2 linked regions of the Oryctolagus cuniculus genome follow. The protein of the gene in region 1 purifies or fractionates together with the protein of each later gene. This does not show direct contact. Links are inferred from orthologs where the notes say so. Each region holds a gene or a part of one and is shown on either strand. Other genes may lie near its edges.

Evidence for each region.
Region 2: the proteins of RPS6KA3 (region 1) and FGFR2 purify together in Homo sapiens (affinity purification with mass spectrometry; 3 studies listed by BioGRID and IntAct, counting the BioPlex papers as one, with this or other methods). This does not show direct contact. The link is inferred for Oryctolagus cuniculus from reciprocal best matches to the Homo sapiens genes RPS6KA3 and FGFR2.

What each region holds. Positions count from the first base shown.
Region 1 is NC_091453.1:6,230,287-6,235,879, reverse strand, and holds part of RPS6KA3 (ribosomal protein S6 kinase alpha-3), read left to right. Parts: coding exon 1-77; intron 78-254; coding exon 255-319; intron 320-393; coding exon 394-496; intron 497-897; coding exon 898-1,022; intron 1,023-3,873; coding exon 3,874-3,999; intron 4,000-5,593. UniProt on the Homo sapiens protein: Serine/threonine-protein kinase that acts downstream of ERK (MAPK1/ERK2 and MAPK3/ERK1) signaling and mediates mitogenic and stress-induced activation of the transcription factors CREB1, ETV1/ER81 and NR4A1/NUR77, regulates translation through RPS6 and EIF4B phosphorylation, and mediates cellular proliferation, survival, and differentiation by modulating mTOR signaling and repressing pro-apoptotic function of BAD and DAPK1.
Region 2 is NC_091446.1:9,299,433-9,305,570, reverse strand, and holds the start of FGFR2 (fibroblast growth factor receptor 2), read right to left. Parts: upstream 4,050-6,138; 5' UTR 3,565-4,049; intron 2,115-3,564; exon of another isoform or gene 1,834-2,114; intron 52-1,833; 5' UTR 1-51. UniProt on the Homo sapiens protein: Tyrosine-protein kinase that acts as a cell-surface receptor for fibroblast growth factors and plays an essential role in the regulation of cell proliferation, differentiation, migration and apoptosis, and in the regulation of embryonic development.

The sequences.
Region 1 (5,593 bases):
GATGCCACAGTTTTTGAGTCCTGAAGCCCAGAGTCTTTTACGAATGCTTTTCAAACGAAATCCAGCCAACAGATTAGGTAAAAATTTTAATTAATTTTTTCTTTCATGTTTTGATTTTTTTTGTTGAGGGGTGGGTGATAGATATTTGTTTTTGTGATGAGATTGTTAAATGTTCAAACAAGTAGTAAAACTCTGTGCAGTGTTTTCACATACATTTATCCTTGAAATAAAAATTCCCAATCAATTTTTGATAGGCGCAGGACCAGATGGAGTTGAAGAGATTAAGAGACATTCATTTTTCTCAACAATAGACTGGAATGTAAGTATGGAATGGAACTTTGCTTGAAATATTTTTATAATTAACACATGTCTAAGTCTCTCTTTTCTCTCCAGAAACTATATAGGAGAGAAATTCATCCACCTTTTAAACCTGCAACTGGTAGGCCTGAAGATACATTCTATTTTGATCCTGAATTTACTGCAAAAACTCCCAAAGGTAAAGAGAAAACATGAAAACCCAAATATAAGACAATGAATACATGTTTGTCTTGTTGATCAGAAAATGTTTTCCAAGATCACTAGGCATATTTGAAATGCTCAGTATTGACATGTGTATAGTGGCTACCATATTGGACAGCACAGATAAAGACAATTTCCTTCATTCTAGGAAGTTTGATGGGATAGGGTTAATGTTTGAATACCATTAACCCAGTAACAATATTTATTATATTCCTCAAATGAATTGGCTGTTTTCTAGTCCCTGAGGGAGCGAAGTTAGAATTGTTGTGGCAATAAGTGATCAGATCATATCCAATACAGTACTGAGATATCCTGGACTGCAGTCGGTATATAATTACCTTTCAAAGGAATCTTCATAAAATTTTTTGCTCTTTTCAGATTCACCTGGCATTCCACCTAGTGCTAATGCACACCAGCTCTTTCGGGGGTTTAGTTTTGTTGCTATTACCTCAGACGATGAAAGCCAAGCAATGCAGACAGTTGGTGTACATTCAATTGTTCAGGTGAGTGCGTGTCTAATAATTTTAAATTTTAAATGTTATGAGGTACAGTTCATTGTATAAATATATTTCATGAGCTGGACAGCTTAAAATACACTTTGTATCAATATTACTCTTTTTTAAAAAAATATTTATTTATTTATTTGAAAGTCAGAGTTACAAAGAGGAAGAGAGAGAAAGGTCTTCCATCCTTTGGTTCACTCTCCAGATGGCCGCAATGGCCAGAGCTGCACTAATCCAAAGCCAGGAGCTTCTTCCGGGTCTCCCATGCAGGGGCAGGGGCCGAAGGACTTGGGCCATTTTGCACTCCTCTTCTAGGCCATTGCAGAGAGCTAGATCGGAAGTGGAGCAGCCAGGACTCAAACCGGCACACCCATGTGGGATGTTGGGACTGCAGGCGGCAGTTTTATCCACTATGCCACAGCTCCGGCCCCTAATATTACTCTTAGAAATTCCTTTCATATGTCATTGATAAGGTTACATGAACCAAAATCCTGGATATCTATGTGACTTGAAAGTGTAATTTTACAAAAATAGAGATAAACATCACTGCCTTGCCTCTCTGCCTCCTGTGCCTCAGTGTTTGTCAGGCCTGGTTTATTTTATCCTCTGACTCTGTTAGTCCAGCTGTGATGGATTAAGGTCTCCTGGCTCCTTTATGCCTTATAATAGTCTTGCATCTTCATTCCTTTGGAACCCCCACTGTCATTAGGAAGAAGTGGCTGAGTACCTCATGTTTCGTTTTCCTATTGTTTATCAGAATTGGCAAAAAAAAAAAAAATAGGTAATAGGCCATAGGGGCAGATTGTAGGTATATGGATGGGAATGGGCAGTGGGGAAAGGGTAAGTGCATAACAAGAGACTGGAGTGGTACATAATGCTATAGGAGCACAAGTACTACAGTCTACTAGATTGATTTTTCCCATTCCAATACTATAGAAATATAAATTTAATTCATCTTTCTAATCAGAGAGGGAATGGCATCAATTTTTTGAAGTATTGAATTGTTTTTAAGATATCATTAGTGTTTTCATGATTAAGTTGCTTTTGCTCTTATCTTTTTTTGTGTATGTGAGACATTCATTTTGCTATCCAAGAAAACCAACTTCAGTGTTAAGCAAAACTCATGTTGAAGTATGAGTAGTCTGTCCCTTTAACCAAGTAAGCACATGAATATATGGAAAGTTTTTAAATTACAATTTCTATACCTAAAATAGAAACCACAAACCTATTCTCCAGAATTCAAGTTTTAACCTGTACAAAGCTCATAGGTCTGGAGAGTCTCATGTCAGCAAAGTTAAGGGCAGCATGACTTTCTTCTCAGCCTCTTATGGAACCAATAATTTTACTGTTTGTCCCTAACCCATGAATAGCTTCTTCAACAGAAGTTGCATAAAGCTGTGATCTGAGGGTAAGAAAAGAGGGAATCTGACTACAGAAAGTCCAGAATGATGTTACACCATTTGTATTTAATCCTCAATAGGTTACACAGTCTGTAAGTGATACGTCTGAAACAATAGTGAAAATATTCTAATTCTGAATCCTCCTAAATCTTTTTCTTCTATACCAGAGACATTAGACTTCTCATTTGCAAAGGTGCTTCAGAAGTCAAATTGGGCAAAATTACAGAGAAAGCTATGGACCCCTTATCAAGTAACTCTGCTTTTTCTGGTGTACATATTCAATTTCTTCTTTATTTTTTTTAAAGACTTATTTACTATTTGAAAGAGAAAGGGAAATCTTCAGTCCACTGGTTCACTCCTCAGATGGCTGTTATGGCTAGGGCTGGGCCAGGCTGAAGCCAGGAGCCAGGAACTTCATGCGAATCTCCCTCGTTGGTGGCAGGGGCCCAAAGAGGTGGGCCATCTTCTGCTGCTTTTACCAGATCATTATCAGGGAGCTGGATTGAGAGTGGATCAGCTTTACCCACTATGCCTCAATGCTAGCCGCAGTTTCTTCTTCTTTTAAAGATTTATTTATTTATTCGAAAGTCAGAGTTAGAGAGGGGGGGGGAGGGAGAGGTGTCTTCCATCTGCTGGTTCACTCCCCAATTGGCTGCAGTGGCCAGAGCTGTGCCAATCCGAAGCCAGGAGCTTCTTCTGGGTCTCCAACATGGGTGCAGGGGCCCAAGGACTTGGGCCATCTTCTCCTGCTTTCCCAAGCCATAGAAGAGAGCCAGATTGGAAGTGGAGCAGCTGGGTCTTGAACCATCACCCACATGGGATGCCAGCGCTTCAGGCCAGAGCATTAACCCGTGGCGTCACAGTGCCAGCCCCGCCAGTTTCTTCTTTTTAATATAAGCGTTCTGGGGGCTGGCATTGTGACATAGTGGATAAAGCTGCCAGCTGTAGCTACCATCCCATATGGGCAGTTGTTCGAGACTTGGCTACCCCACTTCGAATTGCAGCTCCCTGCTAATGCACCTGGGAAAGCAGAGGAATGTGGCCCAAGTGCTTGGGCCCCTGCACCAAAGTGGGAGACCCGGAAGAACTCTGGGCTCCTGGCTTTGGCCTGGCCCAGCCCTGGCCCTTTCATCCATTTGGGGAGTGACCCAGCAGATGGAAGATTGATCTCCCTCCCACCCCTCTCTGTAACTCTGCCTTTCAAATAAAACTAAATCTTAAAAAAAAAATAAGTGGTTTTAAATGTATATTTTTTGCTGAATATTTTATTGTAGAAACTTACTAAAAAGTGCCCTTGTAAAGAATTAGTGCTATAATTTATTTTTACTGATACTCATTTCTATTTTAACTTAATATCAGCAATGCATACTCAGTAACATATTCCTCTATTTTCAAGTATGCTAAAAAGAAAGAGTACGGAACTCTTCATCAATTTATCATTTCATTTGCAGCAATTGCACAGGAACAGTATCCAGTTTACTGATGGATATGAAGTAAAAGAAGATATTGGAGTTGGATCATACTCTGTTTGCAAGAGATGTATACATAAAGCCACAAACATGGAGTTTGCAGTGAAGGTAAATGTTTTTACATTTAAAATACAACTCTCACAGTTCTTACTCATGCATGTAAGTACCAGTTGAGAACTACACTCTTTTTTGTTATTGTTGTTAAACCTTTTGTTATAAAAAGTCAATGTAAATTTAAATATCTGACTAGGGATCTTCAGAGATCTAGAAGCGTGGATTCCCCTTCTAGCCTAAAAATGAAGTAGCCATATACCCAGTATGCCTCACATAATTTCTTTTTTTTGTAAAGATTTATTTATTTATTTGAAAAGCAGAGTTACAGAGAGGCAGAGAGAGAGAGGCAGAGAGAGAAAGTCAGAGAGAGGCAGAGAGAGAGAGAGGCAGAGAGAGAGAGAGAGAGAGGCAGAGAGAGAGAGAGAGAGAGGCAGAGAGAGAGGCAGAGAGAGAGGCAGAGAGAGAGAGAGAGAGGCAGAGAGAAAGAGAAAGAGAAAGATCTTCCATCTGCTGGTTCACTCCCTAAATGACCACAACAGTCAGGGCTGCGTCGATCCAAAGCCAGGAGCCTGGAGCTTCCTCCAGGTCTCCCACGCAGGTGCAGGGGCCCAAGCACTTGAGCTATCCTCCACTGCCTTCCTAGGCTGTTGGAGAGAGTACGATCAGAAGAGGAGCAGCCTGAATTTGAACTGGAGCCCATATAGGATGCCAGCACTGCAGGTGGAAGCTTTACCCACTATACCACAGCGCCAACCCCAAAATTTCTTTTTATTTGACCAGTCAGAGAGACAGAGACAGTGTTCTCTGCTGCTGGTTTACTCCCCAAATGCTGACCATTGCTGGAGATGAGCCAGGGCAAAGGCAAGAGCCAGGAACTCAATCTAGGCCTCCCAAATGGGGGCCAGAGACCCAACCACTGGAACCATCATGTATTGCCTCCCACAGTGTGCATCAGAAAGAAGCCAAAATTGGGAGCAGTGCCAGGACTTGAACTCAGGCACTTATCCCCTGACATGATATTCTTTTTCACATGATTTTTAATAATACCCCTTTTATACTTGAAAGTTCCCGTTTTCTGGTCAGGGTGTCAGAAAATTTCTAAAACTGTATAACAAATTGGTGTATGTTTATATTTTTTGACAAAAAGCTCATACCTTCATATCTAAAAGGCTCTGTGAACCAATACAAGAATTAAAACCACTGTCATAAAATTTATCACTATTAGCTGTTTCAATTTCATCAGGTATCTCATCAGAATGTCTGTTTTGAGATACCTGGTGAAATTAAAAGAGCCAAAAACCAAGACACCTAGCTCTGTGAAAAAGTTTGAATTTAGACCATTAGCTATAAGTGAACAAATAGTATATTCAAGTCTCTGCCTTTTGAATTCTTAAGGTAGTAACCTCTGCTTTCCCATCTCAAGCAATTCAAATCTTCTCTGTAGATTTCAACTTATCTGGAACCTTAAGGCTAGTTCATAAATATGGGTAGCTCATGTTTAGTTAGTGAGAGAGTGACATTCATTGTTATTACTCTAAAATTGGATGTAATTACTTTAGAAAGTCTTCATTGTCCATAAGGCTTTCTGCCACATATAATGATGAATCATAGAAATACATTTAAGTTTCTGTGCTCTTATTCTTTTCTC
Region 2 (6,138 bases), on another chromosome or scaffold:
CGCTGCTGAGCTGAGCCTGCACACGCTGCCGCCGCAGCCGATGCCGCCGCGCTACAAGGAGAGTGGACGAGTTAGTGCAGCCTCCCCCGCGCCAGCTCCCTTAAACCCAAGAGGGAGAAAAGCATTTCTCGGCCTCTCCACGGTGTGCAAACGGAGCTCTTTCTCATGATCTGCCAAAAATACAAAACAAAACAAACAAACAAACAAACAAAAAAACCAAGTGCTTCCACAGGCCCGCTCCACAAACTACGCGAGGCCAAGCTTTGCAAAGGCATCCTTTGGAGAAATACAGTAAAAGGAGCCACAGGACTCAGCCAGGCGCGGCCACTTCAGTCAGGCAGAGTACGTTCTCTTCCACCATCCACCGTCGCCTCTGCCACCCTCAAAGCAGGGACGGCGCGACCTCAGTGCCAGGGGCACCCCAAAAGCAGTCCCCCGGCGCTCAGCCTCGTTAAGCGCTTCCCGCCGTTCCGGAAGCTGACCAACCACCGCCGGCGTCTGCTCGCAGCCCAGGGGTTTGTTCCACTCCCTCTGTGGTGCTCCGGAAGACAGGGATCCCAGGAAGCTTACAGAGAAATCCCCACCAGGTTCCACTTGTCAGGACTCATTTTCAAACGCAGAAGTGGATTTCAATCCCTCGCCAGAAGACGGAACAGAATCGGAACACAGTCGAAGCGGCTATCCAAAAAGGGGGGGCAAGACCAGAAGTCCCCTGCACCGACCAAACGGCAGCGGACGGCTAAACGTCTCCAACCTCAGCAGAGGGGTGGAGAAGCGCAGACTCGGATGAATAATGCAAGAGTTTATTAATGATGATGATGATGTGTGAATTACGCTGACATGCTGGCTCGGCCAATAACCTATTTATTTCTATTTATTTTAAATTTGTCTTTGACACAGAGACAAGAGAAAGACACAGAGAAAGACAGGGAAGGAGCTCCCACTGGCTGCTTCACTCCCCCAGATATCCACAAAGCCTGCGGAAGCCAGGAGCCAGGAATGGAATCCAGGTCTCCCACGTGGATGGCGGGAACCCAGTTACTTGAGCCATCACCACTGCCTCCCGGGGTCTGCCCTAGCAGGAAGCCGGAGTCCGAAGCCTGAGGCTGGTACCCAGCCCAGGTACCGGGATGTGGCACACAGGAGTCTCAATCTATCTATTCTGTTCACCCAACGGATACCAGGCAGGGACTTTTCCCAGGAAGTTTAAAATATTCCTAATAACTTTAAACTCATTCATGTCGTCAGTGACAGAGAATTTGATTCAAACAGTCCCACAAAATGATACCCCAAGTTCAGGCTTCAGACCCCATGAACCACACTTCCTAAGGCTGGGGGGGGGGGGCAGGCAGGAGCGAGAACTTTAATACAAAAATCTCTAACCCGGGCTTGCTGCGTGCCAACTTGATGTTTCAAATTATGCTGAGGAGATTTCCACACCGCTGGCACCTCCCTAAAGGTCTACCATAAAAATTGTTCCTTCCAGTCCTGGGGTTCAAGTGGGTGCAAGTGAAGAGGTTCCCAGAGCAGGGATAAGGAAAGCACAGGTGACAGGCTGCCATCCACAGCAAAGGCAGGAGGAGAGCGCGTTGTGCACGTGTCCGTGTGCGCCTGTGCAGCTCCAGGGACTTCCCTAACTTCTCTTCCCCTTCAAGTCAAGAGCCTTCAGACAGGCTGTGTGTATCCCTACAGCCATGTGGGAGGGGAGCACAGAGCATTCCTGTGCATCTACAGAATGCAGGGGAATTTTCCGCCTCTAACGCTTCAGGAGCAATCTCACATCCCGCAGCGCAAGGACTGACCCCAGGCTGCTCCCCCGGCCGCTCCACCCACCTGCACAGCCAAGAAAGGAGGACAGTGGCCAGTGCCCGCGGCAGACCCCAGGGAAAACCTGAATTTCCGTCAGTCTCCAGGTTCAGGCCCCGCGGCGGTCCTCCGCCCCAGCTCTTTGCGAGGCCCAGGCCCCCGGGGCGGCAGGTACTGGAGTGGACACCAGGCCCAGGCGACCCCCCGGGCAGGATAATGAGGTCCCGGGGCTCGGTGTTGGGAACACAGGCCCAGCATGCCGCTGGCGGCCACAAGCCCGGCTTCCGGCCTGCACAGCCATACTCCTTCCCGGGGTCTGAGCCTCAGCGAAAGCCTGTTTATTTTTCCCCTTGAAAGGGAACTCTCTGCTCAGCCCGCGCGCCGCTGGAGCTGTCACCCTCCCTCTGATGGATGGCTCTCGTCCACCGCCGCCGCCCCCCCAACCCCGGCACAAGTCTGCCCCCCCAAGACGCGAGCTGGGACTAGCGCAAAGAGCCCCGCGGGCGCCTGGCCCTGCTCCGGGAGCCACAGCTAACAGCCCCAAACCCCAAGCCCACGCGCCCCGAGAGGCCGATAGAGGGGCCACCTGCCCCTCCGCTCCTGGGCGGACTTCGCGCGGGAAAGTCAACAGCGCCAGGGCAGGGGCGCCTCCACCCCCAGCCCCCTTGCTCCAGGCCTCCCAACTTCACCCCAGAGCCGAGGAGGACAGGCGATCCGCCGGGGAGTCCAGCCTAGGGGAGCAAGTCCGCAACACGTGGAAATCCCAGCAAACGCGGCCCCAGACCCGCGCCGACTCCGCATCAGCGCCCGCAGCCCCGGGCGCACGCCCCCAAAGCCGCGGCCCGGGCGCTCCCCGCCGCCAACCCGCTCCACGGTCGCGCAGCTTCCCCGGCACGGCCTGGAATCTCCAGTTTTTCTCGCCCCTTCTCGGGGCGCTAAAGAGCTTGGGGAAATCTGCATTTTAATTGACATTCCAGGGAGCGGGAGAGGGGCGCCTGATTGCTTTTCTATTCAAACTAAACAGGCTTTTCAGATGAAAATGAGTTCGAGGCCGGGGGAAGATTTACGGGGATTTGGGACGCGGGGGACAATGGGGTTTTAAGCGTGGACAGCGCTTCACGCCCGCAGTGCAAGGGGTACCCCGAGGGGGAGGTCCCCCCAGGTGGGGAGCGAGGAGGCACCGTCCCGGGACCAGTTCGCGAGGCCCGGCGCCCTCGGCCGCGTCCCCGGCGCCGCCCGGTGCTGCAGGAATGGGCGCGCAGGTCGGGACTCGCCGCGCTGTCGACATCGGCGGCGGCGGAGCGGGCGGGCCGAGGGGGAAACGTCGGTCCAGGTCGCCCCCTAGCCCCAGGAGCGCCGAGCTCGCGCAAGGGCGCCCCGCACCGAAACCTGGGAACCCGAAAGACGGCCCCCGCAGGCGCCACCCCTCCGGGAGGTCGCCAGCCCCCCACCGCCGCCGCCGCCGCCGCCTCCAGAGGCTTCCTCCCGGGGAAGGCTTCCCTCCAGGACCTGGATGGGACGGGCACCCCGAAGATGCGCCTCCGGAGCCCCGGCCTGCGGGGGTGGCGCCCGCCCGACTTTGACAGCGAAGGGGTTGTCAGCGCCAGAGGCAGCGTCAGCACCTGGCGTGGGTGGTCCTCGGGTGCCAGCCCTCGGCTCGCACCCACCTCCCCAGCACCGACGCGGCCCGGGGCGCAGGACGCGGAGTGCCCCCTGCCCGCGCTCTCACTTCCCCGAAGCGCCCAGCGCGCCGATTACCTTGAATGGCAACGCTGCTCCGCGATCCGGGCAGTCCCCGCGCACGGCGCGGCTCGGGATGCGGCCGGAGACGCGCCCGGGAGAGCCTCCAAAGCCGAGCAAGAGGAGTCCCGGGGCGGAGGAGGGCGGTGGGCCCGGCCGGCGCGGAGGCTCCGCGGCTTCACGCGCACCGCAGGCTGCGGAGGCGCGCGGGCATCACGCCCGCCCGCTGCCCCTCGGGTCCGGGGAAGCGCGGTGAAGAAAGGGCTCGGCGTCCGCTCCGCCAAACTTCGCTCGCAAGTTGCAGGCGCCCGGAGAGCGCGCGCGAGCTGCGGCCTCGGGGCCCCCCGGTGCGCGCGGGCCGCCCGCCAGCCCGGAGAGCGGTGGCCGCGCCGGGCCTCGCACGCCGCAGGCAGCCCCCGGGCGCCCGAGCTTTGTGGCGGCCGCGCGCGCTCGCCGCTCGCCGCTCGCCCGCCGGTCCGCTCCGCTCCGCGCCCGCCCGCTCGGCTCTCCGCGGCGCTCTCCGCGGCCCCGCCGCCGCCGCCGCCGCCGCCTCCTCGCTGCGGGTCACGCCCCCGCTGAAACCCGAGCCGCTTCCTGGACGGCGGCGCCCGCTCTGCCAATCAGCGCCGCGCGCCCGGGCCGCCCCGCGCCGCGCGCGGCTCCCGACGCCTGCGAGGCGCCCGCGACGCCCGGCCCCGGTGGCCGCGGAGCGGTGCCGCCGAGGCCCCCGAATAAGGCCTGCTCCCGCGGCGCGCCCGGGCGAGCTGGCCCGCGGCCGGCCTCACGCTGGCTCCGGGCGGGATGGAAAGCCAGCGACACGAGGTGCTGCCCCTCCGAGGCACGGAAGCCTCGCCCGCACCGTGCGAGGCGGCGGAGCGCCTCTGCACCGTTTCTCTGGCCTTGCGCACAGAGGGCAGAGCCCTGGCCGGGAAGCTCCCGCGGAGCCCCGCGCCCCACTTCGGGAGAGGCGTGAGCGGGTCGGAGAGGTCACCCCGTTGGGCCGGGGTCACCCGGAGGACCCCGCAGAGCCTGCCCTGGAATCTGGCTCTTTTGAGAAAAGGCCCCAAGCAGCAGTAGCAACAGCAGCGGGCTGTTTCGTCACCCACGAGCATATTGGGTTAATAAACAGAAATGCGAAACTCTCAAGGCTGCCAGGAACAGCCTGACCCTAAGCAGACCCTAACCTGCCTCTGAATCTCAGATGCTTTGGCGGCACCAAGCTGTCACTGATTAAAGTCCGGGTTTTCTGTGTGCCCTTTCCGCTAGGCCGTGTCTGGGGATAATTTGTTTTTAAATCTACTTTCCCAGACAGCTCCTGAGCCATCTCAAGACCCTACAGATAAAACCCTTAATTATTTGTTCTTAGAAAAATGTCACCTAACCCAGAAGTCCCTGAAAAGCCTCTTGGGGGGGAAGGTGGACGGGGCAGGGAACAGCCGACCCCCACACACACACCCCGGGTGCACCCCACAGCCAGCGGGAAGATGTGTTTGTTGGCCAGGTGATGAGACAATCGGTTTCATTCAGCTGCAGCCTTGGAAACTTCTATGCAGATGGCTTCAAATCTGGGAGTGACAAATCCATCTACCTGCCTCAGGCCACAGCTGTGAAATTGTATTTGGGGAGGCTGACAGCAAAAACAAGAGCTGGGCAAGTCAAAGGATCTGTGTAGATGCTTGTTCGATGGGGCGTGCTGTTGGCAAAGTCCTCTGGCTGAGCTGGCCTGTCCCAGCCCGGCTTTGTCATTAGCAGGTGTCTCAGCCAGGTGACACCCAGCCTCTGCCCTTACAGGGGCCGCTCAAGCCAGAGATCCTGGGAGAGACCAGGGACCGTGGCCCAGCGTCTGTCTGAGCGGAGGCTGGCGCTGACGTCTTTATGTTCCCCACCGATGGGAAACAAGTGGCTCAGGACGAAGCCCGTGCCCAGGAAAGGCCACTGGCGCATTCTCACATAAATTACCCATGCAGGAAGCCGCTGTCCCCACCGGCCAGCCGTCGGTAGGGCCCGGCACTCTGAATGCAAACGAAGCCTGGCACAGAGAGTGACACAAGACGTGTACGCTCGTGTCCAGACGCAGCCTGCAGAATTGACTCTTTATGGAGGTGCAAAGACCAGTGCGTCAGAAGCGCCTCACTCCCATTAGGAGCACTCATTTCTGGGCCAGAGAAGCCCAGAGCCTGCACCAGCAAACTCCGCCGTTTTGGGAAAAGAAAAAGCATGTTTGGAATTTTTTCGAAAAAAATCAACTCTGTCATCATACTGAGGCTGCGAGTGACCTCAGACGGTCCGGTCCAGGAAAGCTGTCACACCAGCGAGGCTCTGAATGAGCGAATAATCTCTTGGTAGCTCGCTCTCGCTCTCGCTCTCTCTCTCCCTGTCTTCCCACTTCAAGCCGCTGGAACTGCTTTTGTCAATGACCTCGTGAATGGTGTCGCTAATCAGCCCATTAATGCGCTTCCCCAGCAGAGTGTGAATAGGTAAATAAGCCCCAGTCTGCGCAGTGCTGGGACCAGGGCAGCAAAGCCAGCGAGAACTAAAGGTGACAGTTGGAACTGCACCAGGAGCACCCGCACCAGGTCTCGCTGAAAGCCC